2 linked regions of the Arabidopsis thaliana genome follow. The protein of the gene in region 2 purifies or fractionates together with the protein of the main gene of each other region. This does not show direct contact. Each region holds a gene or a part of one and is shown on either strand. Other genes may lie near its edges. The genes, in order: AT3G25545 and AT3G18940.

The links.
Region 1: the proteins of AT3G18940 (region 2) and AT3G25545 fractionate together in Arabidopsis thaliana (co-fractionation; one large-scale study listed by BioGRID). This does not show direct contact.

What each region holds. Positions count from the first base shown.
Region 1 is NC_003074.8:9,275,202-9,279,509, forward strand, and holds AT3G25545 (trigger factor), read left to right. Parts: upstream 1-1,643; 5' UTR 1,644-1,768; intron 1,769-2,406; 5' UTR 2,407-2,435; coding exon 2,436-3,239; 3' UTR 3,240-3,490; downstream 3,491-4,308. Other genes in the region: TRAM, LAG1 and CLN8 (TLC) lipid-sensing domain containing protein, read left to right, coding at 1-194, 271-426, 505-690, 772-953, 1,029-1,060; AT3G25550 (F-box family protein), read left to right, coding at 3,677-3,837, 3,913-4,234.
Region 2 is NC_003074.8:6,526,038-6,530,891, forward strand, and holds AT3G18940 (clast3-like protein), read right to left. Parts: upstream 3,137-4,854; 5' UTR 3,014-3,136; coding exon 2,954-3,013; intron 2,658-2,953; coding exon 2,492-2,657; intron 2,263-2,491; coding exon 2,204-2,262; intron 2,029-2,203; coding exon 1,910-2,028; intron 1,681-1,909; coding exon 1,443-1,680; intron 1,338-1,442; coding exon 1,214-1,337; intron 1,124-1,213; coding exon 1,044-1,123; 3' UTR 697-1,043; downstream 1-696.

The sequences.
Region 1 (4,308 bases), 2.7 Mb from region 2:
AGTGACAACATAAAAGACAGGAAGAAAAATAGTCCAAAAGTTCGAAAATTTAAAGAATCAGCTTGGAAGTGTATTTACTATCTATCAGCTGAGCTACTTGCTTTATCTGTCACATATAATGAACCTTGGTTTTCAAATACTCTCTACTTTTGGATTGGTCCTGGAGATCAGATTTGGCCTGATCAACCAATGAAGTAAGTTGTTTCGTTATGGTCATCGATATCTTTTGTGATGGTCATTTGCTAAAATATGATACTGCTATGTGTGCAGGATGAAGTTGAAGTTTTTATATATGTTTGCTGCTGGATTCTACACGTACTCTATATTCGCGTTGGTGTTTTGGGAAACAAGACGGTCTGATTTCGGAGTTTCCATGGGTCATCATATCACAACGCTTGTTCTCATTGTCCTCTCCTATATCTGCAGGTACGTATATTATACACTTGTGTTGTGGAGGAAAGGATACACTGACTCTTGTTTTGTTTTTGGATGTTGATGATATAGATTAACTCGTGCTGGTTCTGTTATTCTTGCACTTCATGATGCGAGCGATGTGTTCCTTGAAATTGGGAAAATGTCTAAATATTGCGGAGCGGAAAGTCTCGCGAGCATTTCGTTTGTTCTTTTCGCGCTGTCTTGGGTCGTTCTACGTCTCATTTACTATCCTTTTTGGATCCTGTGGAGCACGAGGTTTGTTTAATATCCACTTTAGCGTTTGTTCTTGAATGTTTTTTCCTTGATGTATATATATTGTGGGGTTTTGATTTGCAGCTATCAAATCATTATGACTGTGGACAAAGAAAAGCATCCTAATGGACCAATCTTGTACTATATGTTCAACACACTTTTGTATTTCTTGCTTGTTCTTCACATATTCTGGTGGGTTTTGATTTACCGGATGCTTGTGAAACAAGTGCAAGATCGAGGCAAGCTTAGCGAAGATGTTAGATCCGGTACGCAATAAAAACTCTTATTACAATATTTTGAGACAAAAACACTCTATTAATAATGTTCATGTCTTTTTGCAGATTCTGAAAGCGATGATGAACACGAGGATTAATCGCATGTTGGGAATATTAGTAGTGCACACGCTCTATATCTCATGAATCTGAACCACACGGAGACTAGGAATTTCAACATCAAGTAGGATGCATTGCAGTATTTGAACAGTTGGTTCATCATCTTCCAGAGGATCGTAACCGGATCAAACCGTTTTGAATGAATCGGTTTCTCAATCTGAATTTTTGAGTTTATTGTTTTCTCTAAAGTTTGAGCAAATTCAAGATTTTGATCAAACTGCTCCACGTTCTATTGTTTTTTCTTCTATAATTTTTAATTTACGCTTTTGCAATAACACAATTCCTTGTATCATTATACTAATGTCATCTCAAAATTAGCTCCCTTCAACATCTATGCAACAGACTAACAACTAAATGAATTTTCTTGGGGTTTTTTTTGGTTCATTGCATAATTTGATAAAATCCAATAAAATACTTGGAAAGGATAAAAGAAGAATAATTTTTCATAAATGAATGAAAAAAAAATCAGCATCTTTAGGCGCACAATAGTATCGCACGATAGCGACGCACAATAGTAGCGCACGATAGCGGCACATAATAGCGACACGCCTATGGGATTTGTTTGAGGTTTTAGCTTTCTCGCTGTCTTGGCCGAGAAGACTGAAACCAATTGCAACAAAAAGAAAGATAAAAAAAAACAAAAAATCTCTTCTTTGTTCATCATCATCGATCGATTCTACTGCAACAAGGTACGTCTTTTTCACTTCCTTCTCTGAACAAAACTCTAAATTTTGTTGCTTTTTTTTTTCCTGTGTCGTCTCGCGCTGCGATTCTTATACATCTTGGCTTCAAGTGATACTTTGCTTCCCAACTCTTGAAATGTATAAATTTTGAGACTTTACTGGAGATTTTGAGTTGGGATTGTTTTCATGTTCTTAAAGATTCGAGTTTCGATCTCTATATGATTCAGTAGATTGTAATTTTGAATCGGATGTCTGGAAAAGAATTGATTTTATAGTCTCTTAGGTTACTTTAAGTAGTACTTTGCATAAGATCTGTGATTTGATGATTGTTATCTTTTGTTACATTGCTGGTGGAGTATAATAAGATGAGCAAGAACCAACAGAAGTTTGCGTTTGATTTAGGTTATTTAGCAACTAGTCCTGTTTTGGTGTGTTTCTAATCTCACTCACTGGGTCTCTCTTATGTGGAATATAAGATATTTGATCCTACGACTGTTAGTGCTTTCATGCTGGGTTTATAATATGGATACAACTGAATTCCTGGCATTACATTTTTTGTTCAGAACCAATGAACTGTTTGTTTAGGTGTCATTGTTATCTAAGTGCTTGCATCCTTCTTCTGATGTGTGTGTGTCTTGATACAGGTCTGTGAGATTTTGATAAAAGCTAAGATATGGAAGATGTACTTACCGAGAATCCTCCACCTTCAAGATTCTTCCAAGAAGATCTTAACAACTTTGTTCAGCCACCTGAATCCCTTCCATCTCCTTTCATCATATTCTCAAACCCGAAACCTGAACTTCCTCTCCGACCATCTCTACTTATCATAGCCATATCTTCACCTTCCCTCTATATTTTCCATAGTTTACCTTCAAAGACTCTCCTTGGAAGTCTCATCATGCCTGAAGTTCCGTTTTCTGGAAACACCATGGAACCTTCTTTAGAAGACAAATCCTGCAACATATATTCCTTGAGTAGTGCTGATGATAAAAACTTGACCCTCCTCGTCTCTGTTCAGCTTCCTGTATCTCCTGAACGGTCTAACCTAGTCTCGAGATTGCTCATTGCCAAAGACATTATCCCCGAGCGGGTGATAATCTTGGATTCCATTCAGAGCCGTAACTTCAGAGGTAGACTCTCACCAGACGAAACATTGGCAGCCAAACTCGAGACATCTGCTGAGAAGAAAGCAACAACTCACACCGGTTTAGTGAATCTCGATTACTTCCCATCAGGGAGTGTAATCGACGGTCTGAGTGCTTCACTTTTGAGCCGGTGCCAGCTAAAGAACATAAGAGGAACATTGGTGATCTCATGGCCTGAGTTTGGTCCTTCAGTGATAAGATTCGCCGGAGCTCTGCTGAAGAAAATTGTCCCGAGTTTGGATGTTGCGAGTGTGAACAAAGATCTGGAGAAGAATTCTTCAAGAACTGGTCTTAAAAAGGATACTTGGCTTGACTCTGATCTATATACATGATTCAGAGACAGAGTAATGAAAGCTTCTCACTTGTTTCATGTTTCTATGCTTACTAGGAAAAAACAGAGACCTTATTTACGCTTGTGTTGTTCTCATTGCAAAAACAGTTTTGTTTCATTTCTACATTGTTCTTAGGTATGTGAGGACTTGTGATTTTTCTTAGTACACACAAATTATTGGGCTAACAACAATTTAGCGGAGTCGAACTCAAGTGAAAAATGTGGAACCACTTGACTGAAGACACTTCCCCGTTTTGGTTACAATCTTTGTAAAACGAAACGAATTTTCTTCATCCCAAAATAAGCCAACACATATCATGGGAAAGATTGCTTCGTCCTCTTCAGAGAGAGGAAGAAAAAGAAGAAGTGAATATCACGCAAGAGATATTGAAAGAGAAACCGAAAGAAGAAGACGAAGAAGAGAAGAAGAAGCAGGAGATGATCATGCATCATGGAAGAGAAAGCAAAAGAAGAAGAAGACAGGTTATTAAGATACCAAACGACGATGTGTTGGAAGAGATTATAGTAAGGCTTCCAGTGAAAACCCTAACTAGATTCCAAACCGTGTCTAAACACTGGAGGCATACGATAAAGTCTAGGTAAATCAGGAAGAAATACATGTTGCATCAGAAAACAAAAGAACCCAAATTTCTCTGTCTCTATGAAGTTAGAAGAAACGGGTCTAAGCCAAGCATTCGTTACAAGACCATGAGGTTGGAGTGGTCTTTGAGTCGTCTAGTGGGAGAAGAAGAATATTTAACTAGCAAGAAACACAAAGAGAGGCGGATACTATTTTCCAAGAGTGTGGATGGTCTTTTTTGTTTATATAGTGGTGTGGACATGAAACAGCCAATTATGGTGATAAATCCAGACACAAGATGGTCTAAGAAGCTCCCTCTTGCTAGGATTCAACGAAAGAATTATTTAGACAGCAACAAGGTAGAGTTCTCTCGCCTCGGGTTTGGAAAAGACAGCGTCACAGGAACATACAAACTAGTGTGGTTACGTACCAAAACAAAGAAGAAAATAAAAGAGGAAACCTCATCGACGATGACATGCGAGGTTTTCGA
Region 2 (4,854 bases):
TATCTGCTTCTAGTGAACTAGAAATTTGTTATAATGAATGTTTTTCTATTATTTAATGAAGTATAAGTTTATTGTTCCTATGATTATGAGTTTTGACCACCAATACATGCTTATTCGGTGGCAAATATATTCAACGAATATTAATTTTATGTAAATGACATCATATGTGAATGTTAAGGTTTAGTAAATATGATAAAGTTCAAGAATCAAAATTATGATAGACAAGTTAAAGACTGTAATTTTTAAACATATATACTTTGTACTAGTCTTCAAAATATGTGAGAAAAAGAAGTACTCCACTAACCAAATCACATGTACATAAGTTAGGACCCCATCAGTTCTTTCAAGAACCGAAAACTATTTGCATGTATTTTACTTGGTCAGAAATTACATATATAAAATTCTGGTGGCAATAAAGGTGCAAATTAAAACCGGTCAGAAGTACTTGCCTTGGTCTATCTATACAATAAAACACAATGACTCCAGAATTTATTGCTCAACAACTACTTTCTTTTTCTTTTAGTCCCGGAGATATTTCTTACATTATTATTGTTCATGCAAAGCTATATTTGTTTGCATCCACAGAGAAAACGCATAACCGGTCACATCAAATACATTATGCATTCCGGTCTGATGAGACATGAGTTTAACTGTTGTTCGGTTTAGGATTTACTACACGGATTCTGGTTTAGCATCTTATCCTCTTTGTTTAGAATCATACGAAATTTCATAATATACCCACTGATAACAAAAAAAGATTCACTTCTTGATTAAAAAACATAATTTCAGAACGTGATTGAATCTCTCCTATTTTATGATCCTGTCTCCCTAGATACATTTTTGTCTAATAATGTAATTCTACTTGTTATGTTTTGTTGTTATACAGTAGCAGATTTGATGATGAAAAACTGAAAAAAAAGAAAGAAAGAAAAGGTGTCTCTATCGGATTAAACCATCTCAAATGTTCATAAACTTCTCATTGGATCATAATTGTACCACTACAACAACCTCGGTGTCTGACACTGTGAGCTCCAACAACAGTCTTAAAACATAGACATATCCGGAGGAGCTCCATACATACTCTTCCATGAATACGGTATCTGCCATTTCCCACCTTCTTCCCCTGCAGAAAAGAATATTCATAGTAAGTTTCATCGCCTCTCACTATTAATTGCCCGGGTGTTGTTACCCTCGGAAGAATAGAACTATTTACCATGGAACTTGTCAGGAGTCAGACCCATAAGCTTAGATGAAGCCTCAGCTAGAAGAAATGCTTCAGGAATGTTGTCTCCTTCAGAACAGTAACATAGCAGGCATGTCATCTTCAAGCCTCTTGCCTAACCCCAAAACAACATAAACCCCGCACAGGCCATATAAGTGTTTCAATCATCTAAAAATGAGTCGTAGTGGTTACATTGTTCATTATAAGGCATTTTATCTACCTTAAAAGCTGAGAAAAGAGCTGCAAATGGCAAGCTTGGATAGTAGTCTATGTCTTCAAGTTCATCTTCTGAAGGCAACGCCAGCTCTTCTACACTGTTCTTTTCAAAGACAGAGCTAAGGTACTTCCAACATCTTCCTTCTGAATCATACTCGTGCAATCTTCCAAACCCAAGCCTTTCACAGTGATCATCTCTTCCATCAGATTCAGCGTTAGACAGATAATACACCTGTGGGCCTCTAAAGTAATTGCCAAGGAGACCACGAATTAACTTGTGAAGAGTTTGCTTTTAGTAAGAAATTAAGAATGTGGAAAGAAAAAGGTGCAAGTGAAGCTCATTTATTTATCAATCAAATCTGTGATTAGAGACCTCTGATGCTGTTTGCACTAGACTATATTTAGTTCTACATTGAAGGCATACGAAAAAAGTTATAGCAAAACACATATAAAAGGAAGCGTTATAGTTACCTCGACATATCCAAGTTATGCAGCCTTTGGAAGTCTAAACTCGATAACACAATGATGTGCTTCTTTCCACTTGAAGCAGCAAAATTGGCTATATTCTCCGCAAATTTAATCATCATTCCCTGTTTTGAATCAACATTGTAAGTTAAAAAATGACTCACTAAAATTCCCAATCTTTTTACTGAAAAGCTCCAGTTAATTGACATTTCATAGTCCCAACACAAAAAGCATTGAATGCAATCCTTCAAAAAACAGGATTCGAAATAACGAGGACAAAGCTGCCAACAATGTAAATACCTTTGCAACTGGAGACCGTTGCTGAGCAAGGGTAGTAGCAATTGAAGATGACTCATAAACTGAAAACACAAAACCAAAGCGGAGAAAAGAATGAGGTTTCACAAGTATAAAAGGTTTGATTCAACAATACAAAGTGGCATAGATCTAGGCATCAAACTATACAAAGGCAAATAATGTGTTATTATTGTCCTATATAACACCTTAATCATGTAAAACAGAGGATCCTTAATCTAAGAAAGCAAAGCACTCATTGATCTTAAACAAAGCATATAGTTTGAGAAAACGAACCCTCGAGAGGAAGGGCGATCTCGCCACAAGGAAGAGGGCCATAAGCATCATTTCCAACACAAGGAAGCAGATTTGGATCATCAAGATAACCAACTCTCTCTGCACCAGTAGATGACACTAGAAGATCAACAGCGAGCTGTCCTACATTCCCAATTGACAATGCTGGCTGGTGGGGGGAAACAAAATCAAAACTTCATCAATCATAAATCTTTACAACATTTGTTTTATGAGAAACATCAAATGCTACTAAACCCTAAACCTTTTTCCTACAAGTTTCATGACTGTTTCGTGGGATTTCAATGTTCCCAAGAAAAGTTGGGGACTTTCTAATTTCTATTTTCTCTTCAATAAAGGTACAGTTTTTAAGCTTTAGAGACGGAAATATCGAAAGGGAACGAATACCCAGAAGCAGAGAACAGATCGAAATCGGAGAAAAGCAAAGGAAACGAAACAACAACTTACGAGAACTAAAGTCGAGCAATCTTCATTCACTAGCTTTCCTTCTTCAACAACAAACTCCATTTATGAAGGCAAAACACTGGTGACAGAATCGGATTGCAAGTTTCCCAAATATCAAGTTCGAAGAATCTCTGCCTGCGTTCAGAACAGTTCTTCTTCTTTGGTCGAGCTTGAAGAGAAAGCCAGTGACTAATTTGGGCCGATATTATCAATCAAATGTAATATGGGCCATATTAAAGCCCAATAAAGGAAAAAGATGATGGACTACAACTGTAGAGTATATATACTTGGTGACGATTTTGTCCAAAAAAAAAAAAGGTGACGAGAAAATAAAAGAAGAAATGAAAGTCTATAATCTACTACATGCGGTGTAAATGTAGTTAGTACGACTTATGCTAACATTCTACAACCAAATAAAAAGTTGATGTATCTCAGTATCTACTATTGAAGTGAACCATTTGAGGGAAAAAGGAACAAAGCATATATATAAGATTGGAAAGAGATGAGAGCAGGGCCGGTACAATGTTTTTTCTTAATTTCTGTTGGTCATATTCTTTAATTTATATCAAGTGATTGGTCATATCAAGTACCTTTTAAATAAGTAGAAGAAGGCTGGTCATATCAAGCACCTTTCACTAGGGATAGTTCTATCTAAAAAAAGTACCTACAGAAATGGGGTTATAGTTTTGATTAAAGAAGCACTAGTATTACGTCGCATTGGATGCAAAAATGAGGTTACTCATTTCAGAACATAGACTAAAAAGAGAAGATTTTTTAATAAAGTACTAATAACAAGATTCAGACGACATTTTTCTTAAAAGTAGTAATTACATGATTTAGGAGAAGACGTTTTTTTAAAAAAATGTAGTAATTACGTACGCAGATTCAAGACTTTTTTTTTTTTGGTCAAGATTCAGACTCAAGACTCATGAGAAGAATTCTGAACTTCATCTTCATAATTCAGGGGCGGAACGGCGGAAGCTTTTTTTTTTATAAGATTCCTATGATGATCCTGAATTTGCTGGAGCGTAACTTACTCTCAGCTAATAGAGTAAGAGCGTCACTTCCAATTTTGAAGAATATCAAGATTTTGATTCAATATGGCAATCATTTCAAGTGTTGAGAAACCTTTAAAAGAAATGAGATTCATAATTAACCATCTACAAAACAAACAAAACAAGCCTCAGAGTTAAAAAAACCTACAAACAAAACAAACAACTATCGTAATTCAAGCAAACAAAACTATCGTAGTTATAGATTAAACACAAATTTAGACTTTGTTAAGTTAAAGTCCATACGTATAATTAATCGAAAGCCCTAACCAAAATATTGACCTTAGAAAAAAGGCTTATAATATAGTTTTTATATTAATAAAACTTAAAAGAAAAAATTTCTAAAAAATGCACTCGAAATATTAAAGTGATTGTTAAGACAATTATTATCCAGAGAGATCCATATCATATGATGACAATTTAAATATAATAATTCAAATGAATGAGTTAATCATTTAAAATGAGATGCGAAGACTTTCTGATGTTGGCTGTCTCTTCCATTGGGTACATTATGTTTCGTTTCTTGATCGCTATCCTTTTGGTTTATATTAAAATCATGATATGAAAAAAAAAACTCATTTCAGAAACAACAAGTTAGAATATTAGAAAAAAAAACTAAAACTAAAACTAATTACTAATTTATAGACTGAAATTAAGTTGATTTTTCTCAAAAATAAAATAAAAATAAATTAGTTGATATAAATGTGAGAAGAAACAGTTTAATCGCTTTTAAAACAAGAATTAATAACTAGGCAAGTATTATTGTTGAGGAACGTAAAATAAAACAAAACTACTATGGATTTGTTGGAAAAAAAATTGAAGGACACGGTAGGTCTGTCAAGGAGTGGTGCT